2 linked regions of the Coturnix japonica genome follow. The protein of the gene in region 2 interacts with the protein of the main gene of each other region in a pairwise test. Links are inferred from orthologs where the notes say so. Each region holds a gene or a part of one and is shown on either strand. Other genes may lie near its edges.

Region 1 (9,250 bases), on a different chromosome or scaffold from region 2:
TTTCTCCTGACACTTTAATACACAGCACCACAGTATTTGAAAACTAGTGCTATTAGCCTGATGCACTTAACAGAAGGTAGCATTTCAACAGCCATTAACTTGTAATAACCCAGCAAAAGCTTGAACATGAACTAAGTGCAAGAACACACTCTTAATATTATTTACATTACAGACGTCCTTGGAAATTCCCAGCCACATGGGTTTCTGTGCCCAGGACCCCCATATCAGATGTACCACAAGCCTCCCAGCCTGCAGAAAGGCCTGAGGAAGCTCCCACTGCACAACAAAGCTACAGATTGCTATGGCAGGCTAGTCACAGAGCTTGAAAGAGAATACAGGTCTCAAGGCCCACACACATCCACTCCACACACACACTTTACCTAGCATGTTCCATCTAATTCAAGCAGAAGCTGATGGGCTACTAGTCTTCCAGTCACCTACTGACAGGTAGCCAGATGGAGATCACGTTTACAGTACCAATGCTGGAGTCCAGTTATGAAATTTGCAGCTGGTCCAGCAATTGAAATGCTGTGAATACACCGTTTTATACCCTGTATTTTATTCACAGATTCAGAAACTCTCCAGTGGTGCTAATTATAAATAGACAAAATATACTTTTATCTGTCTTCTTTTTAACACAGTTCACATTCTGGAGCTTCAGAATGAAATAGTGTTTTATGCTGAAGCCATGCCAACACATCTGATTTAACATTCCAGTGCTTCTTCCTAACAGAGCCTGGAGCTCAATACCCTTAGTCAAAAGGAGCTTTACGATCCACTCTTCTCCAAACCCCATGACTGTGCCAACACAGACTATGCATTCTGACACAAAGATCCTGTACTTGTAATCCATCACAAGACTGATATATCTACCCTGAGAGTATGCCTATAATCATCAACCTGATTCTGCACACCCTCAGCATTACTAATCTGCATTTCTTGCTCCAGCTCATCACTTGCAACACAGTGCTGCTGAAATGCAAACTTCTTTCAGCATGAATTCTGCTGACAGCAGTACCAGATGTTTATGTTTTCTTAGTAGTCACCCTCAAAGCTGAAGAATAATGCGCAAAGCTAATTTCATCAGCTTTCATAATGAGAATCATCATTCCAAACAGGGACTTCCCAGACGAGATGCTGCAGATAGAGTTGTGGTTATTCAGCAGCACTGAGGGGAGTGTCCAAACAGCAAGTTACGTGACGGATGCAAGTGCTGAATAATCAGAGGATGAACACACAGCATTTGAAGCGTCTGATGAAACTCAGAGAACTGAAACAAAAAAAATAATAGTCAGGAAGTACAGCAAGTAAGTTGCGGAAGAAACTAATTGTTTCGTGACATGAAATAGAATATAACTTGCAGTGAGTCTCTGTCTCTCAGCAGCACCACTTTTCCAGCTCCTTCAAAGAGCTTGCATAGTAGCAAGCTGGCTCTTTCTTATGTTTTTATTTTTAATTGGAGAAAATATTTAAGTCAACTGTTTGAAACATGAAAGCTAGTTTTGAAAAGAATACTTGTTTTAAAAGGAGTGTTTGCACCAGTGTGTAACAATCACAGAATACCCAGGAAACGTATGTAAAGCCATAAATCACTTCAAAAACAACATAATGGAATCTAGAGTACCTAAAGGAAAAACAGCCCTCCACTGCTTTACTGCATTTCTGTGTGCCTGAATATTTGCAATCATTTACAGTTCCTACAAATTCCTAGTCCAAGCCTGCATGAATACTGAAAGCAATGACACCGAGTTCCAGAAATAACAATAATCAGCTAAATCCATTTGCTGTTATTTGATGAACTCTGTTCTAGTTACATAATTTGCTATTATGGCAAATTATCTCAATATCCCTATATAACACTGTCAGTATAAATCATATAACAAGGTCTACTGATCCACAAAACCTGGGCGTAAGAAGCTGAAGAAAAAGAAATGCCTCTGTATAATGCAACATTATAGACACAAGGAGATAACTGTGAAATGAATCAAGCTTCCTAAAAAGACATGGTAGAAAAAAAACAAATTGCTTACGTAAAGTCAGAGAAACTTTAAGTAGTTCATATTCATTTATGGCTCAGTTTTCAAAATGAACTGAGTAGTAAGTAATAAAAGACAACAGGATACGCAGATCATGTCACTACAATGGAGAAAAAACATTCTTAACAACAAACAGTAGCATACATAAACATTCGGAACACAGTGTAGTGGATGGTTTCTCTGCTATACGTTGGTGTAGCTCTGATCAACTCTATAAGCATTCCTGAATCGTTCAGAAATTAAACTGAACTTAAGAGAGACACGCAATTCAGCTTCAATCCTATTGCAGCAGCTCAATGCAACTTACAGCTGGGGGGGGAGGGGGGAAGGAGGGAAGTATCCACTTTAAGAAGGAAACCAGCTCTCAAGACAGCTGGCCAACCCCAGACACACTGAGTACTGACAGAAATTGGACTAAGTTTTCCCTTTCTCCCTTACTATCGCTGAAAAGAGGAAATCTATGAAATGTTCCAACAGTTACTACGGTTGATTCAACATTTGCTTCTCAAGAGGTAGGTTTTTTTGTGTGTGTTTTGTTTTTTTTAAAGCACAATTTCTTTGCAGACGCATAAGGCAAAATGCTGTAATAGAGTCATTCTTAATATTTGATGCTCATATGGTTCAAACATACATAGCCAAGACCTGCTCACTGATCATATACGTTGCTAATTATGTCTCAGCATTTAAGCACCATCAGTTGACTGAAGCCAGCAGAAGAAGATTATTAGCTGGCTAATCCAAATTTAGAGGGGATGAGGAGTATTTACATCTCAGATTACATTTTATTTAATGCTTCCTGAAGTTCTCTTTGAAGCAGTGAAAGGCATGAAGTGAGCCTCTGCCAGAGATCACCAGGAGTTCAGACTACATTACACAAAGTACAAACAAGACAGAAGAAAGGAAGGCCTGATGATGGATAGAGATGTTACAGCACACTTTTGACCTCCATCCTCCTCCCGCAAAGCACAGTTGGTTTGTACGCATCACAAGACTTGGGAGATCTGTTGTTCTACCTCAATAAACACAGCAATAAGCCTGACTTTCCAAATCTCCATCCAATCATATCATTCCTTTCTCGCATGACTTCACTGGCCTTTACACTGAGTCGGGTAAAACTTGGTACCTTGAGTAAAACCAACCGACCGTTACCTAAACTGAAAGTATTTTTACTGCTAAGTTCTTATTTGATATTCAGCTATGCTGAACTACTTTAATACACCACAGTTTCTTAAAATAGCCCTTAAAACAGCCCAGTTAAGGCAATGAAAACGACCAAAGAAACCAAACTGAAATAATTACACTCCTCACAACCATCTGAGTTTTGTTCCCTACTCTGGCTCTTCATTTGTGCTTTTCACTTTACAAAGCTTCTATGTTGTAATGCTGCTCCGTTCCTAGCCTAGGAACTTTTTTATTATTACATTTTTTTGCTAGCTCTAAGTTTCTGGAGAACAATTAGTTCTTATATATATATGTTGTGACAAGCATGAAAGCTCATAGATCCTTCTAAACACCAGCTCCAGCACAGCATCAGTTTTGGATCACAGCTCGGACAGGACAGAATGCAGTGGGAACAGATGCAAACTCTTACATCCTGTGCTTAGTCCAGGAGCTGTATGCATCCTGGTTTTTCACGTTTACAGCTTTGCTACAAATGTAGAAGAGCAAGGTAATTTTCCTGTTTTGCAACAGTATCATTATATTGCCATAACCAAACAGTACTGAACGAACAAGTAAAGTTCTCGCCTTCTGAGAGTTTACTCGAAAGCCATTGAAATAGACAGATCTATGACATAAGTGTGCAGCTATGTAGCACTATACGCCAGACGCCTACTGCCAGAAGGAAAAGGGGCCCACTTTGAGTCCAAGCTCCATCACAAGAAAAGCCTCTGTGCGCTACCAAGACCACGCCTATTGTGTGGCTCAGGCTAGAGACTAACAGAGGAGGTACAGAAATATCACAGATCATTTAGCTCTGTGAGCCTCACTGCGATAACGGCTCCAGTGATGGATGCAACAAGAACCGGGTGAGACTCTCAGGTTTCACCTGTCCTGTATCTCATTTGAATGTGGTGAGAATGGGATCTATACTAAAGCTCTGTGTGCCTCCTATCTCCAACTGTGACACAGCTTCTCTGACCTTTCAGGGCTTCACTTCTCCAGACACAGTTGTGTAAGAGCTACAAGGTAAAATGCAACTTTGTGCTTTGAAGCCAACCACCTCCTGGACCTGAACAGCAGCTCAGGGGGCAAAGCTTTCAGTGCTCCAGGGAATTGCATGCTTGTACGTGTCCACGCTGGGCAGTCCTGTGTGCACAGGGCCTGAGCACAGGTACTTCTTTATTGCTCTCCTCTCCTCCAGAGGAGATGACAAAGCTGCAGCACCAGCCAGAATTTTTTAAATGCTCATTTGCTAAAGTGCTTCATAAACACAGAAGCACAAAATAAGCTTAAAATTACAGGTCAAGTCAAATTCTTGCTTGTATTTATATATATATATATATATATATATATATTTTAATGGCAAAACAACGTTAATGTAGTTTTAGTCTTATGAAATCTCTACTAAGGTAGTAAGCTTATATATATATATATATATAAATTCTACACTTACCCCATATCTATCTACTAATTACAAAATTTAAAAGCAAGAGGAAGTTTTGAGGTCTTGTTTCTAAACATGGGCTCAGGTGGATCACAACACACCAGCTCAGATCACAGTGCTTTGAGACGAGGCTGTCACCACGTTACTGCTGTGAAAGCAGGCAGGGCTGTGGACACAGCACGGGGCACTCGCGCTAATTTATCATCCATCCTAAGTATTTTATTGCAGCCAATATCCGAAGCGCAAACTTCCCAGCACAGAGGGGAAGCGGAACTGACCCCTGCGCCACCAGCACGGCTGCCGAGCTGCACATCCTAGCTGCTTCTCCGAGCTCCCGGGGCCTCGCAGCTCACACCTGCTTCACCGTTCCGGCAAAAACGGGCATCCCGGCTCTCTGCCACGGTGAAGCTCATCTCTGACCCGCGGATACGAGCCACCGGTGCCGGCAGCGCCAACAGCCGCACGCTGACAGCGCGCTAGCTGACAGCTTTCTCTCCTAAACGGGGTCAGCGGGGGACAGAAAGAGGATCTGACACACTTTTGCTTCCCGACGGGAGAGCCGCAGGGCGCTGCTCGGCCCCGGTGCCGCGGGGCACAGCGAGGGGGCAGCGCTCGGACCGAGCCTCTCTCGCCGGAGGGCGGCGCGGAGCCGCGCCTCGGCCCGGCCGGAGCTGCGCGGACGGCGGGGCGAGCGGTGAGGCGATAAGCCCCGGCAGGAAGGGCGCGGCGGCGCGGTCTCACCTGCGTTGTAGAAGCGATCCAGCACGGCCGTCTCGCCGAAGTCCAGCTTGCCGAAGTGCAGCGTTTCCAGCGAGGCTCCCACCACCTCGCACGCCTCCCGCAGGCTCTGCAAGGCGCCGCTCTCCGCCGCCAGCAGCGGCCCCTGGCTCGCCTCGTTGATCACGTAGGTGACAGCCGTCCGCCGCCCGGCGCCCTTGGTCCGCGCGGCGATGCCCGCGCCGGCGGCGGGGCAAGCGACGGCCGCGTCCTCGCCCCACGGCGGGGTCACCTCGGGCTGGAAGCCGCGGCCGCCGTCGGCTCCTTGCGCCCGCCGGCCGAGCCCCTCCTCGCCGCCGCCCGGAGGGCCGGGCACCGCGAAGCTGATGGTCCCCTCGCCGCCGTCGTTCATCCCTGCGGAGCCGCCACCGCGGCGCGTCCCGGGCTCTGCTCTAGAGGCCGGGGTCAGGCGGCTGCCATGCCGCGTCCTTCCACCTCGAGCGATCCCCGCACGCTGTGGCCGAGCTGCCGGAGAGGAACGGCGATCGGGCTGGGGCGAGGCGCTGCCCCGCGGAGCCTAACAGCGGCGGCAGGGGGCGAGGAGACGAACGCAGCCTCCCGCGGCGCCCGCCGCCCGCACCATGGCACGGCGCTCCCTGCTCCCCCGCACCTGTACGGACCACCTGGCGAGCGGCCCCCCGCAGCCCGCTCCGCACCGCCGGCACCTCGCTCTGCCTCCGGCCGCCGGCTCCGACTCCCTCTCGGGCAGGAACCACTTGTGGGACTGCTCTCAGGCGCCCCCGATTAAGACGAGCGACAGCTGCGCTGCTCTACTCGCGGCTCAGGCGGGGGCGGCCCCGCACCGCGCTCCTCCTTCCGGGCCCGCCTCCGGCCACTAATAAGGCAGCGGCGGCCGCCGGGCTGTGCGTTGGGATGGAATGGAATGTCGGGTGTGCGAGGAAGGCTCCGCTGGGACCCCCGAGAGCGGGCGGGGACTGCTGCCCGTGGCGGATGCGCTGCACGTCTGGTTCTTGGGCCGCAGCGGGGATGGAGCAAAGACTGGCGGAACCCCGTGTTGTTCTGTTTAATGGTATCGGAAAAGCCTCAACAGGCTGGAAAGCTGGGCTCGGGTGAATCTAATGAGGTTCAACGCAGCAAAGTGCAAGGTTTTGCACTTGGGCCGGAAGAACCCCAGGCACCTGTACAGGCTGGGAGTAGTGGTCCTTGAGAGCAGCTTGGCAGAGAAGGACCTGGGGGTCCTGATGGATGAAAGACTCAACATGAGCCAGCAGTGCGCTCTGGCAGCCCGGAAAGCAAATGGGATCCTGGGCTCCATCAGGAGAGGGGTGGTCAGCAGGGATAGGGAGGTGATCGTCCCTCTCTACTCTGCTCTTGTGAGGCCCTATCTGGAGTACTGTGTCCAGGTGTGGAGCCCTCAGTACAAAAAAGACATTGAGATTTTGGAAAGGGTCCAGAGGAGGGCCACAAAGATGATCACGGGGCTGGAGCACCTCCCCTATGAGGACAGGCTGAGGGAGTTGGGTTTGTTCAGCCTGGAGAAGAGAAGGTTGCGGGGTGACCTCATTGCAGCCTTTCAATACCTGAAGGGAACTTACACCCAGGAGGGGAGTAAACTCTTCAAAAGGGCTGATAATAGCAGGACACGGGGAAATGGTTTTAAGTTAAAAGAGGGAAGATTTAGGTTGGATGTTAAGGGGAAGTTCTTCACTAGGAGAGTGGTTAGGCCCTGGAACAGGCTGCCCAGGGAGGTTGTGGATGCCCCGTCCTTGGAGGTGTTCAAGACCAGGTTGGACAGGGCCCTGGGCAACCTGATCTAGTAAAGGTGTATGTTTGGTGGCCCTGCCAGGCAGGGGGGTTGGAACTACATGATCCTTGAGGTCCCTTCCAACCCAGGTAATTCTGTGATTCTGTGAGAAGCCGAGCAGCTCTGTCTCCTGGCGTGCTGCGGGCAGCGCTCTGAGCCGGGGGTGCCGGTTCGTCGGCAGCTGCTGGGATGGAACGGGTCCTGACTTGCCTGAGATTTTAAAGCGTCCTTTCACCAGCAGATGAGTTTTGATTCAGACGAACCTGTTTTTGCATAAAACAAAGGGGTGGGCAATGACCTCGTGTCCCTGCCAGCTGAGGGGGTTTTTGCTGTTTAGCTCGGGGTTGTTTTTGTTGCTTCTTGCTCAAGGACACGGTGACTGGCACTGGGGCCTAGCAACAAGTGAGATGCTTGTGAGTGCTCTGCTGTCTGGAGTACTGTGTCCAGGTTTGGGGCCCTCAGCACAAGGAAGATGTGGAGCTGTCAGAGCAGGTCCAGAGGAGGGCCTTGAAAATGACCAGAGGGCTGGTGCCCCACTCCTATGAAGTGCTGGCTGAGGGAGCCAGGCTTGTTCAGCACGGAGAAGAGAAGGCTCCCAGGAAACCTCATTGGAGTTCTCCAGTACTTGATGGGAGCTTATAAGCAGGAGGGGGACTGAATTTTTATACAGTCTGATTGTGATAGGGCAAGGGGGGATGGCTCTACGCTAAAAGGGGAGATTTGGGTTAGATGTTAGGAAGTAATTCTTCACTTGGTGGATGGTGAGGCACTGGAACAAGTTACCCAGAGAAGCTGTGTATACCCCATCCCTGGGGGCATTTAAGACCAGGTTGGATGGGGCCCTGAGCAGCCTGGTCCAGAGGATGGTGCTAACCTTACCCATGGCAGGAAGGGTGGAACTTGACCATCTTTAAGATCCCTTCTAAGTTAAGCTATTCTATGACCTTAGAGACAGGGACTCCGCCACTTCCCTGAACAGCCTGTTCCAATGTTGTCTCTGTGAAGGAATTTTTCCCCAGCATCCATTCTAACATCCATTCTAACCATCCCCTGGTGCAACTTGAGATGGTTTCCTCATGTTCTATTACTTTTCACCTGTGAAAAAAGACCGACACTTTCCACTCTGCAACATGGAGCAACGTAGCACTGCGCATTATTAATGTTTGTGTCCTACCAATAGGTCCATCTGCTTTGTGCATTATAGTGGATCTTGTTGGGATAAAATCAACTTCCTGGCATGGATCCTGTTCCTGTATTGTTTATTTCCATTACTTCTGTAAGACAAGGATAAATTCTGGAATAGTTAGGAGAAATTAGTCACCTTTGGGAGCTCTGTTTGCGTCGATAGGTTCCCATTTTCAGTGAGATATGCCTGGCATTTGCTTCTGCTGATAAGGAATGGGTAAATGGGGTGGGAAGATGACGAGCAAACGAAAGACTAATTTAAAGGGGGAAGTTAATATTTGCTAATCTGCAATATACAGTAGGTTATTGTTTCTTGCTCTGGTCAGAACGACAATGAATGTTTTCCTAAATAAAGTAGTTTTCCACAAAATGCAGAATCGGTGTTAATCCATTCAGCACTGCTCTTACATCACCTTACAGGAAGCAAGAACAATGTGCCTCTGTTGTTCTCTAGAACAGCCCATGTTTGTCAAGCACAGAAGGAAGTCCCAGACTGAAAGGAGACGGAAGCAGCATGCTATTCTACTTAGTGCTATGACTCGTGAGGCCTGTGTCATTATTAGTGCCATGTCCATTCCAAACACAAGACAGGTCTTCTGTAGATTTGGCTGGATGTGATGTTGAGCCGTAAAAAGAAACGAAAAAACAAGTAATAAAAAAGGAAAAATAACCTGGAATAACCCACACAAATCTTCAGCATACCTTGTTCACTTGTTTCTCAAGCACTGTCGAATTTACATCTCTAGTACCAGATGGTTTACACCCGATTACAGTTCAGTATCACCCTGTTCCTGTTGTGCTTTTTCTAATGACAAAAACTTGCAGCAAGCAGCGTTAGCTGCAAATCTGTTGGAATAATTCCATCTCTTCCTTGTAGGTTTT
Region 2 (9,080 bases):
ACTTAAATCCTTTTCCCCTTGTCCTGCTATTGTCAGCCCTTTCGAAGAGTTTAATCCCCTCCTGGATATAGGTTCCTTTCAGACATATTAGACAGAATTCCACCCTAATACTCACAGATAGAACTTGCTACAGTATTGAGAAGGGAAAAAAAAAAAAAACCCAACAAAAACATGCTGCCCTGTTAAGCCTTATACATCAAATGAAGAAATTACAGAAGTCCTAGAGGTCACCACAACCATCTTCATAACACGAATTAACCTCACACTAGACATGCCTCTCAACAGCAAGTTCATCTGCTCAGCTATTCACACAGCAATACGACTGCCAAAAGAGTTGGTGCATTTTTTACAACCAGTAAACTTGATAACCATTATCAACATTGTTACCTCAGGACCAAGCATAAACTTATTTTGATCACAGTGACAATTCCCCTCTCTTCCAACTCATACGTACCTGATCACAACCCGCATTCACCAGCTCCTGGAGCATCTGCCTATTCACTTCAACAGCTGCTGTATTGCTCGACTCATTAGCAAAAGGTAGCAAAGAATACCTAATTTCTCGCAGAGCTTTCTGATAAGGTCCAAACTTTGCCGTTTGTCTCATCTGCTGCTGCCTTGCAGCATCCTTCCCTACTAAAATCTTAGGGTCCAGAGAAGTTTCACTGCCTGGTCCAATAGGCAGCCCCTGACCTGAAGATTTGGATGGCTGCTTTAAACCTTCTCGAATCTCTTGTAACCTTTGTCTGCTGTTTCCAGAATACGTTGTAGCAGGAAAAGTCTTTGGCCTCATTGTTAATCCAGTTTTCTCTGAGCATAAATACAGCTTTATTCTTGGTAGTTTTTTTTTAGCTACTTTATTTCTAAGAAGTGTCGCTTCACGGTATCAATTTCTTGTAAACATAAATCCTTCAAAGGGAAAAAGAAAAATGGCAAAATCCTCAAGAGGTTCCTGCCAGCATTTTACTTCAGCTCACAGTCTTCACATCTCCTACAGAAAATCCTTGGAGTCATCATTTCACAAACCGACGGCGTCTGAAACAAAAGCAAACAGAAAGCACGCGTAATTAAGTTGATATTGTAAACACCTCCAAAGGGACAACATGACAATTAATCAAGTGAAAGTGAATCAGTTTAACCTTATTAAGCTGTTGCAGCTTAATGCATTAATGATGATTATCACTTTATCTGTTTTCAAGAATAGGATTTCAAAAGGCTTTCTCGACATCATCAAAAAAAGCATTTTTCTTCAAGGCCTTGTTTTGAAAATAAATGAAAATAAAAACCTCAGAAACTACAAAGCTTGAGAATTTCATACACTACCTAATTGTGGCAGGTTTCCCACCCCATTGCATAACCAAACCCTGGACAAGCCTATCCTGTTTCATAATTAGGGAAGAGCATGCTCATGAAACGTTTTTCCCCCACTTCAGATTTTGTTTGTTTTACACAAGCTGAGCTCAGTTTCAAGAGTTTATGAAAAAGCCTTATAATGGAAATATTGATGATTCTAACCATAGCAACTTCTAGCATTTTAATAACAAAGTGACAAGATATTTTGCCATTCCACATGAACGTTCTTGCCAATGTTGAAGGTAAGAATTGCCCCTCTCCCAGTTCCAGGGGGTTTATTTTATTTCTTTGTATTATTGCTATTATTAAAGGGTGCAAGGGCGAGGGAATCAAAAGGGTGATGCATACTTTAACTGTGCCTGACAAGAAGACAGGGAAGGAGCTACTCAGTAACAGCACAAAAAGCTGAAGAAGTTCAGACCGCTCACATAAGATTAAAACACAGCTGTGATACAGCCTCACAGCCCTCTTATGATACACAGCAGAGGTCAGCTATACAACTATGGAGCAGAACTGAGCTACTCTGCAACTTGTGACACCTTTACAGCACTGAGAGGTAATCAGAATTCTTTATTTACTGAGTCTTCGTGGCATTGACAAGTGACAGGACGAGGGGAAACGGCCTCAAGTTGCGCCAGGGCAAGTTTAGGTTGGATATTAGGAAGAACTTCTTTACAGAAAGGGTAGTTAGGTACTGGAATAGGCTCCCCAGGGAGGTGGTTGAATCGCCATCCCTGGTTGTGTTTAAGAGCCGTTTGGATGTGGTGCTCAGGGATATGATTTAGTGTAGGGTTGTTAGAGTTAGGGTACTGGTTAGCTGGGTTGGACTTTGATGATCTTCAAGGTCTTTTTTTCCAACCTGGGTAATTCTATGATTCCATGACTGTTACATGCCAAACATTACATACAGATGCATTTCAGAAAAAGGATTAAAAAGAAGCATCACATAGCACTGATGCTACAAGTTTGTTTCTGCCACCAGTACCAACATCTGCACAGTGACTTTACCCTGCTGCTCCATTGAGAAAGCTCAGAATTTCGGGTCCAGTTGTTTTGAAGCCACAAACAGAAGCTGGTGAAGTTCTGCTATCGTTGGTCACTCAGAAGCAAAGCGGACCTTCTTTCTCAGCCCTCATTATAAAGGGGCTTCACAGCCTGCAGTATTACTATTATTAATACATCATGAAAAGCTTCTCCAGAAAGCATTCTAGTCATACACTCCACCCACTGCAATAACTGTTCCTGTGACAGCTACAGCGTTTCCAACAAAACAACCATTTCTATACAACTTACTACCACCCCTCACAGACAAGCAAACAGATAACTACCTGAAAGCCAGGAGTCCGCACATACCCCTTGAAGCCCATCATCACCTCCTCACTGGCACGTGGGCTACTGTCAAGAGAGTCAAGTTCTCCACTAAACCAAGAACTGAGTACAGGGCAAATTACAGCCAAGTCACAGATCACAGAATGAACCCGGGTTGGAAGGGACCTCCTCAAGGATCATGTAGTTCCAACCCCCTGCCTGGCAGGGCCACCAAACATACACCTTTTACTAATAGGTTGCCCAGGGCCCTGTCCAACCTGGTTTGAACACCTCCAAGGACGGGGCACCACAACCTCCTGGGCAGCCTGTTCCAGGGCCTAACCACTCTCCTAGTGAAGAACTTCCCCCTAACATCCAACCTAAATCTTCCTCCTTCACTTAAAACCATTTCCCCTAGTTCCTGCTATTACAGCCCTTTCGAGAGATTTACTCCCCTCCTGGTGTGTAGGTTCCCTTCAGGTATTGAAGGCTCAATGAGGTCACCCCGCAACCTTCTCTTCTCCAGGCTGAACAAACCCAATTCCCTCAGCCTGTCCTCATAGGGGAGGTGCTCCAGCCCCCTGATCATCTTCGTGGCCCTCCCCTGGGCCCCTCTGGTCAGACCCCAGAGTCCTTTGAAATAGTCTCCAGAGCACTTTGAAATACAGGAGCACAGACTGATCACTTTAGGTACTGTCTATGTCTTATGCTCTTAACTAAGCACACCAAGGAAATTTCCATGCAAGGTAACAGCAGCCCATCCCAGCCCCCTGAGCCCAGAAGTGGTACACACCTATGCTGAGAGCTCCAGGATCAAACTGCTGGAGAGCACACTTAGAATTTAGCAACAAATAGCACACAGCCAAAGCAAAGGGTTAAAAAGCAAAACAGCATTACAGCCTTCTTAGGACTCCAGCATAACTCGCTAGCGCTTGAAAGATACAGAGCAATTAAGTGATCTATGACCGCCCTTCCTTTCCTGACAGCAGCAGGCACCATATGGCTGGGTTTAGGAATCCGGGCTGTTCTTCCTCTTTTCAGACCCCGTGCCAACCCACAGGCCTGGGATGTGCGGGAAGAACTCCAGCCCTTCCCACCTTTCTGCCACAAAGAACTGCCTTCCCACTTACACACATGCTTCAAATAAAGAACTGCTGTGACCTTTAGCCTGAGCTTGAGTCTAATAAAGCTAGGTCAAGCCAGCTGGCAGCTTCTTCAGCCTGCATTCACAGCACAGCTAAACTAGAAAGCAGCGCTGATTGCTCAGAGATACAAATGAGAAGAACAACAACTGTAAGTCAGAACTGCAGATGCGCTTCATATTTTGCAGAAGTTTGTTTTGTCCTTTTTTTTAAGCCAGATATTCAAGATCAGCCAAGAAATCAGGACATTAAGTATCACAGGCAATTTACAAAGAAACAAGCTGCCTGCTTTTTAAAGTCCATATGCAAGTAAAAGGGTTATGCCTCAAAAGAAACAGTGTGTCTAAGGATTTGTGACTGTACATTTGGACTTAGATAACTCCAAATCTCAAAGCTCACCTTGCCTATGGCACAGATATACACACAGCCTTTTTGCTGTCATGAGAAATGACTACTCAGAATTATTTCTGAGCTCCAAACCATTCTGATTAGATACTTCTAAGGTGCTGTTCTGTTCTTTTTCCCCTGCCAAAACGTTGTATGTTCTGTCAATTAGAAGCCTGCCTGTTACTCTGAAGAAAAAACATTTCAAATCTTTTTAACAACACGAGGTCAGAACAACTTTTTGAGTAACTGAGAATCTTCATCTGAGAAATACCAATCGCTGCCTGGCAGCAACCAACCAGCCAGCCACGCTGAATTCACATGCTGAAGTCTGCCATCCCAGCAGCACTGCCTACTCACTCCCATTTCTTCATTCAGCAACAGGCTGCATATGCCAGTGGCTCTGTAGGATTGAACACCGGCAAGAAACTAAAGCTCTAAAGCTCAGTTGTGCTTCAGGAGCAAAGTCTCAGACCCTGAGCTGACAAGATGCTTCCCAGCCTCTAACTGTGCCGGCACGGTGAATAACTACTGATGGCTGCAGAAGTAAGGACTGAAGTTTTAAGGAACGGACACAACTGCCTTCTCACAATTTGCTGGCATCGCACTGGGCTTTTTGGCTCCGAAATGCATGGAAGCAACCTGGCCACTTTGTGCTGGAGGTCTAACCTAGGGAAAAGGGGCCAGGAATTTCACTGTGTTACAAAGCACACTCCTCTTTATAAGAGCACGCAAGCTAAAAGCGGCAAGAACCAAAAGGAGCACTTCTCCCAAGATCATTCCCCCTCGTCTTCCCCCCTGCAAACAAAACCGTCCCAGAGTAACTCAGCGCTCGAGACTCACAGAATCACAGAATTGTAGGGGTTGGAAGGGACCTCCAGAGATCATCGAGTCCAACCCCCCTGCCAAAGCAGGCTCCCTACACCATGTCACACAGCTCGGCGTCCAGGCGGGTCTTAAATAGCCAAACGCAGGGGCCGGCCCGGCACAGCGCAGCGGGACGCGGCCAGCAGCCACCGCCGCAATCCCGGGGCTACGCAGAGCGATTCGCAGCAAGGCGCGGGTCCCGCACTCGGCGGGCAGGGCCGGGGCTGAGGCGCTGAGCCGGGCCGTGACCTTCAGGCCGAGCCGCGGGCCCGGCCGAACAAGCTGAGGCGGACGGGGGCCGGAGCTCGGCCCCTCCACACAGCCCTAAGGGAGGGTCGGGCCCGGGATGGAAAGCTCCCAGGAGTTGAACCCCGGCCAAGCATGAGGGCTCCCCCCGCTCCGGACTGTCACACCGGAGAGCCCCGCACGGAGCGGCGAGGCCTGAGGGGGGGGAGGGGGCGGGGTGACGGGACGCGACAGCCAGCCCCGCGCCCCTCTTCCTCGCGCGGGACACCCGCCTCCCCCGGGCCCCGAGCTCTAACTTTCCCCTCAGACAAGCGGAGCATCCGGGGTGGGAATGGAGGGGCCGCCGTGCTATGGGAAGAGCCGCACCGCCGCGCCCTTACGTCGCAAACCCGCCTCACCTCCTCGGCTTACACCCCCTGCGCTCCGTCACGCAGCGCTGTGGTGGCGGCGGCCCCGACGTGGCGGGTCGCTCCGCTCTCCATCTCCGTCCGCCCGCTCCGTCCCGGTCGCAGCGCGGGGCGCAGTCGGGACATTCGCTACATTGTTAGCATTCCTCGCTGCTCACGTGACCCAGCGCCCGCGTCATTCCACTCTCACCCCCCTCCCGCCACATACCAGTGGGGGGGGGAGGGGCCTCGAGCGGCGGGGCGGGAACGGGGATGGGGCTGCCTGAGGAGATGGGGTGGGAGCGGTGTGTCCTCCGCCTCTCGGGGTGTTTATAGCCGTCATGTGGCGCTTCCCCACCTCACAAGTGGCTCTACAGTCTCGTAAATGGTTCAACCCGGGTTTTGGGGGCAGAAGGTGGCTGTGAGGAAACGGCGCTGCCCGATGGCGCCTCAGCCCTCCCCACACCGGGCAGCGCCGTTTCCTCACAGCGCCCCGAACTCGATTCAGTCACAAATTTTGCTGTAAATCTGTTACTAATCCTGGGACAAAACTCCAGGCCCAAGCTGCAAAAGGGTTTTTGAATGCAAAGTTCATATCAGAGCTCGTTACAGTTGGAAGTGCCTGGATCCGAGCCTGTTTTAGATATCTCTATAGTCTGTAGATGTATATTACTGAGTTGTATATTACTGTTGGAATTTTAATAGTGTTATTGACCGGAATATATTGCAGGGAGTGGGGGAAGGAGGAAACCTCTGGCTCCTCCTAAGGAAGCTAAAGAAACTCATCAGGTTCAGAGCAGATTCCAATGTTGGAGGAATATTGCAGGATAATGTGGTTCATTTTGCAATCTTCAAATACCTGCTATACTGAAGTAAATTTTAAATGATATGACAGATGCAGCATGGCTTCATTTTCTGAATTACTGTTGTGCTTAACCGATGAAGCATAGCAACATGATTGCCCAAACCAGAGATTGCTCAATGCCTTGAGACCTTTTCCCAACAAAATTCAGGCTGGCTTAAAGGAACAGCATCAAGATAAAAATTGCTTACTCTCTGCTGATACGTTATTTCATAAGATTTGGTTGTCATCCACATTTCTGAATCTAGGTAAAACAGATCTGTTCACTTATTTTCCTCCACCGAGCTTGTTTGTTTTCCTTTAGCATTCCAATCCACCTGGGAATGAAACTCAGCTGCACTATTTCACCTCCTGGTTCCAGCCAGCTGCACTTTCTGAATTTCATGCATTTGCACAGAGCTGCTGGTTTGAATTCCCAGCAGCAGCAGCAGGTACAGCAGAGATGGATTGCATTTGCTTCCACAAAGTAACTGTATTCAGCTGGTCCACTGCTTATAAGAAAACTCCTCAGGCTGTTTCTGCCTTTAGAAAAACAGGCTGTTAAAAAATGAGATCTTTGAAAACATGAAGGAAACGGAATTTGGTTGTAGCATGACACAACAGCTCCGTGAGAACATGATTTGATCTCTAAGTTTTTGGGGATGACTGTGGATCCATCAAGTCTTTCATCCCAGCTGTGTTCTACCGAACAAGGTATTGCCACAGGGAAAGATGCACATAAAAAGAGCTACACAATATGTCTGTACGAGCAAATCCACTTTCAGCTAGACCACAAGATAATAATCTGCCATGAGTAAGGGTCAGTGTGTTTATTCACGGCTCATCTAAAGTGAGTGAGCCTGCTGGACATATGATGATTACAGCATCCAGCTCTTGACTTGCCTGAGCAGCTGTTTGCTGTGCTGTGTAGGTACGGTGGGAAAGAGCACAGCTCCACGGCTCCACATTCTTTCCACCCACCTGAGACAGCAAGAGGAGGCAGGAGCTCTGTGCAGCTCTCTCCCATTCTCTCACATCGAATGCGGTGAATCGCCTTCTCCCCTCCCTGTTCTCTTGTATCAGTGTTAGATGGGCAAAGGTGTGAGTCTTCCTAAGTAATTATATTTGGAACCAATTACCAAATCATGCTGCTAAAAATACGATCAATCGAGCAATTGTGATGTGTGTGGACGAATCGTTACGCAGTAGTGGTAGCCAACAAAACCTTGAACTCACTCAGAAAGCTTGTGAAAGATAAAGCAAGATCGTCAGATATGTCTGGTTGTCTGCTACAGTAACACACACACAAAATAATTGTGCACATATATGTGTGAGAGTACTCAAAGAATTTGCTGATAGCAACATCCTTTACTAGGAAATGTCTAGAACCAAATTACTGTGATGTGCAGTGAACAATGTGCGAGGAAAAAGGACTTGGGTAAACACCACTGACATGTTCTTGTTTTAATACATCTGTTTTGTTTGCAGAGTGATACTGGGAAATCATTCTTCCCAAATCCAATGCTAAACTAGTTAGAAACAGGCATTCAGAGTCCAACGCTGCTTAGGCAGCCCAACCTGTGAAGTAAATATAATTTGTTTAATGGCAGTGAGAATTAACATTAATGACAGACAAAGGTTCAGTAAGGTAGGCAGGTGAAAAACTAAGTTCTAACTGCAGTTTGGATAACCTCATTTATTTTTATCAGGACTACATCTATGAGATCAAACTTGTTTTTATCGGCAAAGGAGTAGAGAATATAAGAACAGGAATTTGATTTCAACACAAAATGGATGCATCAGGGCAAAGCTTGCTTTGAAACTGACTCAGCTTTGCAGAGGAAACACAAACCCAGGTTTACTTCATTGGCAAAGGCATTGTGGATGCTCAGACTGCCTTTATGACCCTCATATAGAGGGTTCAACACTGAATTTCACAAAGACCCATGTTCCTACGTACTCTGCCCCCCGCCCCACACTTGGTGTCAATCATTGACTTCAACCGGAGCCTGAAAGGGCGGCAGGAATGTCGTGAGTCTGTGTGGAATTTCACCAACAGCAGCCAGCTGTGCTCTCTGCTTGGGAATCGGTCGGCCAACTTTTCAAGTCCTTACAGTCATCTTGGTGACATTCCTTTCTTCAGATGCAGTGCAGATGGCTTTTGAACACCACAGCCAACCAATTCCAAACTGTTAGGAAATGTTTTTACACATCCATAGGCAGTGTCCTTCTCATCCCGAGAAGGGGGAAAATGCAGGATATACGAGGCCCTGGCATCTGGTGAGGGCATCCAGTAGCCATCAATCTGGCCTGTAATTCTTTTCATCAAAGGTCAGGCACAGTTGCTGTTATCTTCTCCCAGCATAAACAGTGCCCCAGCATGGCTCTGCCCTTCCTGTCACAGACGCAGAAATGATTCACTCTCCAGACAGATAGAAAAGGCGTGGGAGGAACACAAGTCCTGGTGCAATATGCAAGGGACTCTGTGACAGGTGAGGATACGGGTAGCTGTACAGAGCGCCTGTGTAGAGAGGTAAAGAGCAGAAAAAAAAA

The links.
Region 1: the proteins of LATS2 (region 2) and MAP3K5 come close enough for resonance energy transfer, tested with the Homo sapiens proteins (2 studies listed by BioGRID, with this or other methods). The link is inferred for Coturnix japonica from reciprocal best matches to the Homo sapiens genes LATS2 and MAP3K5.

What each region holds. Positions count from the first base shown.
Region 1 is NC_029518.1:49,698,977-49,708,226, reverse strand, and holds the start of MAP3K5 (mitogen-activated protein kinase kinase kinase 5), read right to left. Parts: upstream 5,832-9,250; 5' UTR 5,771-5,831; coding exon 5,383-5,770; intron 1-5,382. UniProt on the Homo sapiens protein: Serine/threonine kinase which acts as an essential component of the MAP kinase signal transduction pathway. Plays an important role in the cascades of cellular responses evoked by changes in the environment.
Region 2 is NC_029516.1:159,806,233-159,815,312, reverse strand, and holds the start of LATS2 (serine/threonine-protein kinase LATS2), read right to left. Parts: upstream 5,892-9,080; 5' UTR 5,699-5,891; intron 1,036-5,698; 5' UTR 794-1,035; coding exon 455-793; intron 1-454. UniProt on the Homo sapiens protein: Negative regulator of YAP1 in the Hippo signaling pathway that plays a pivotal role in organ size control and tumor suppression by restricting proliferation and promoting apoptosis.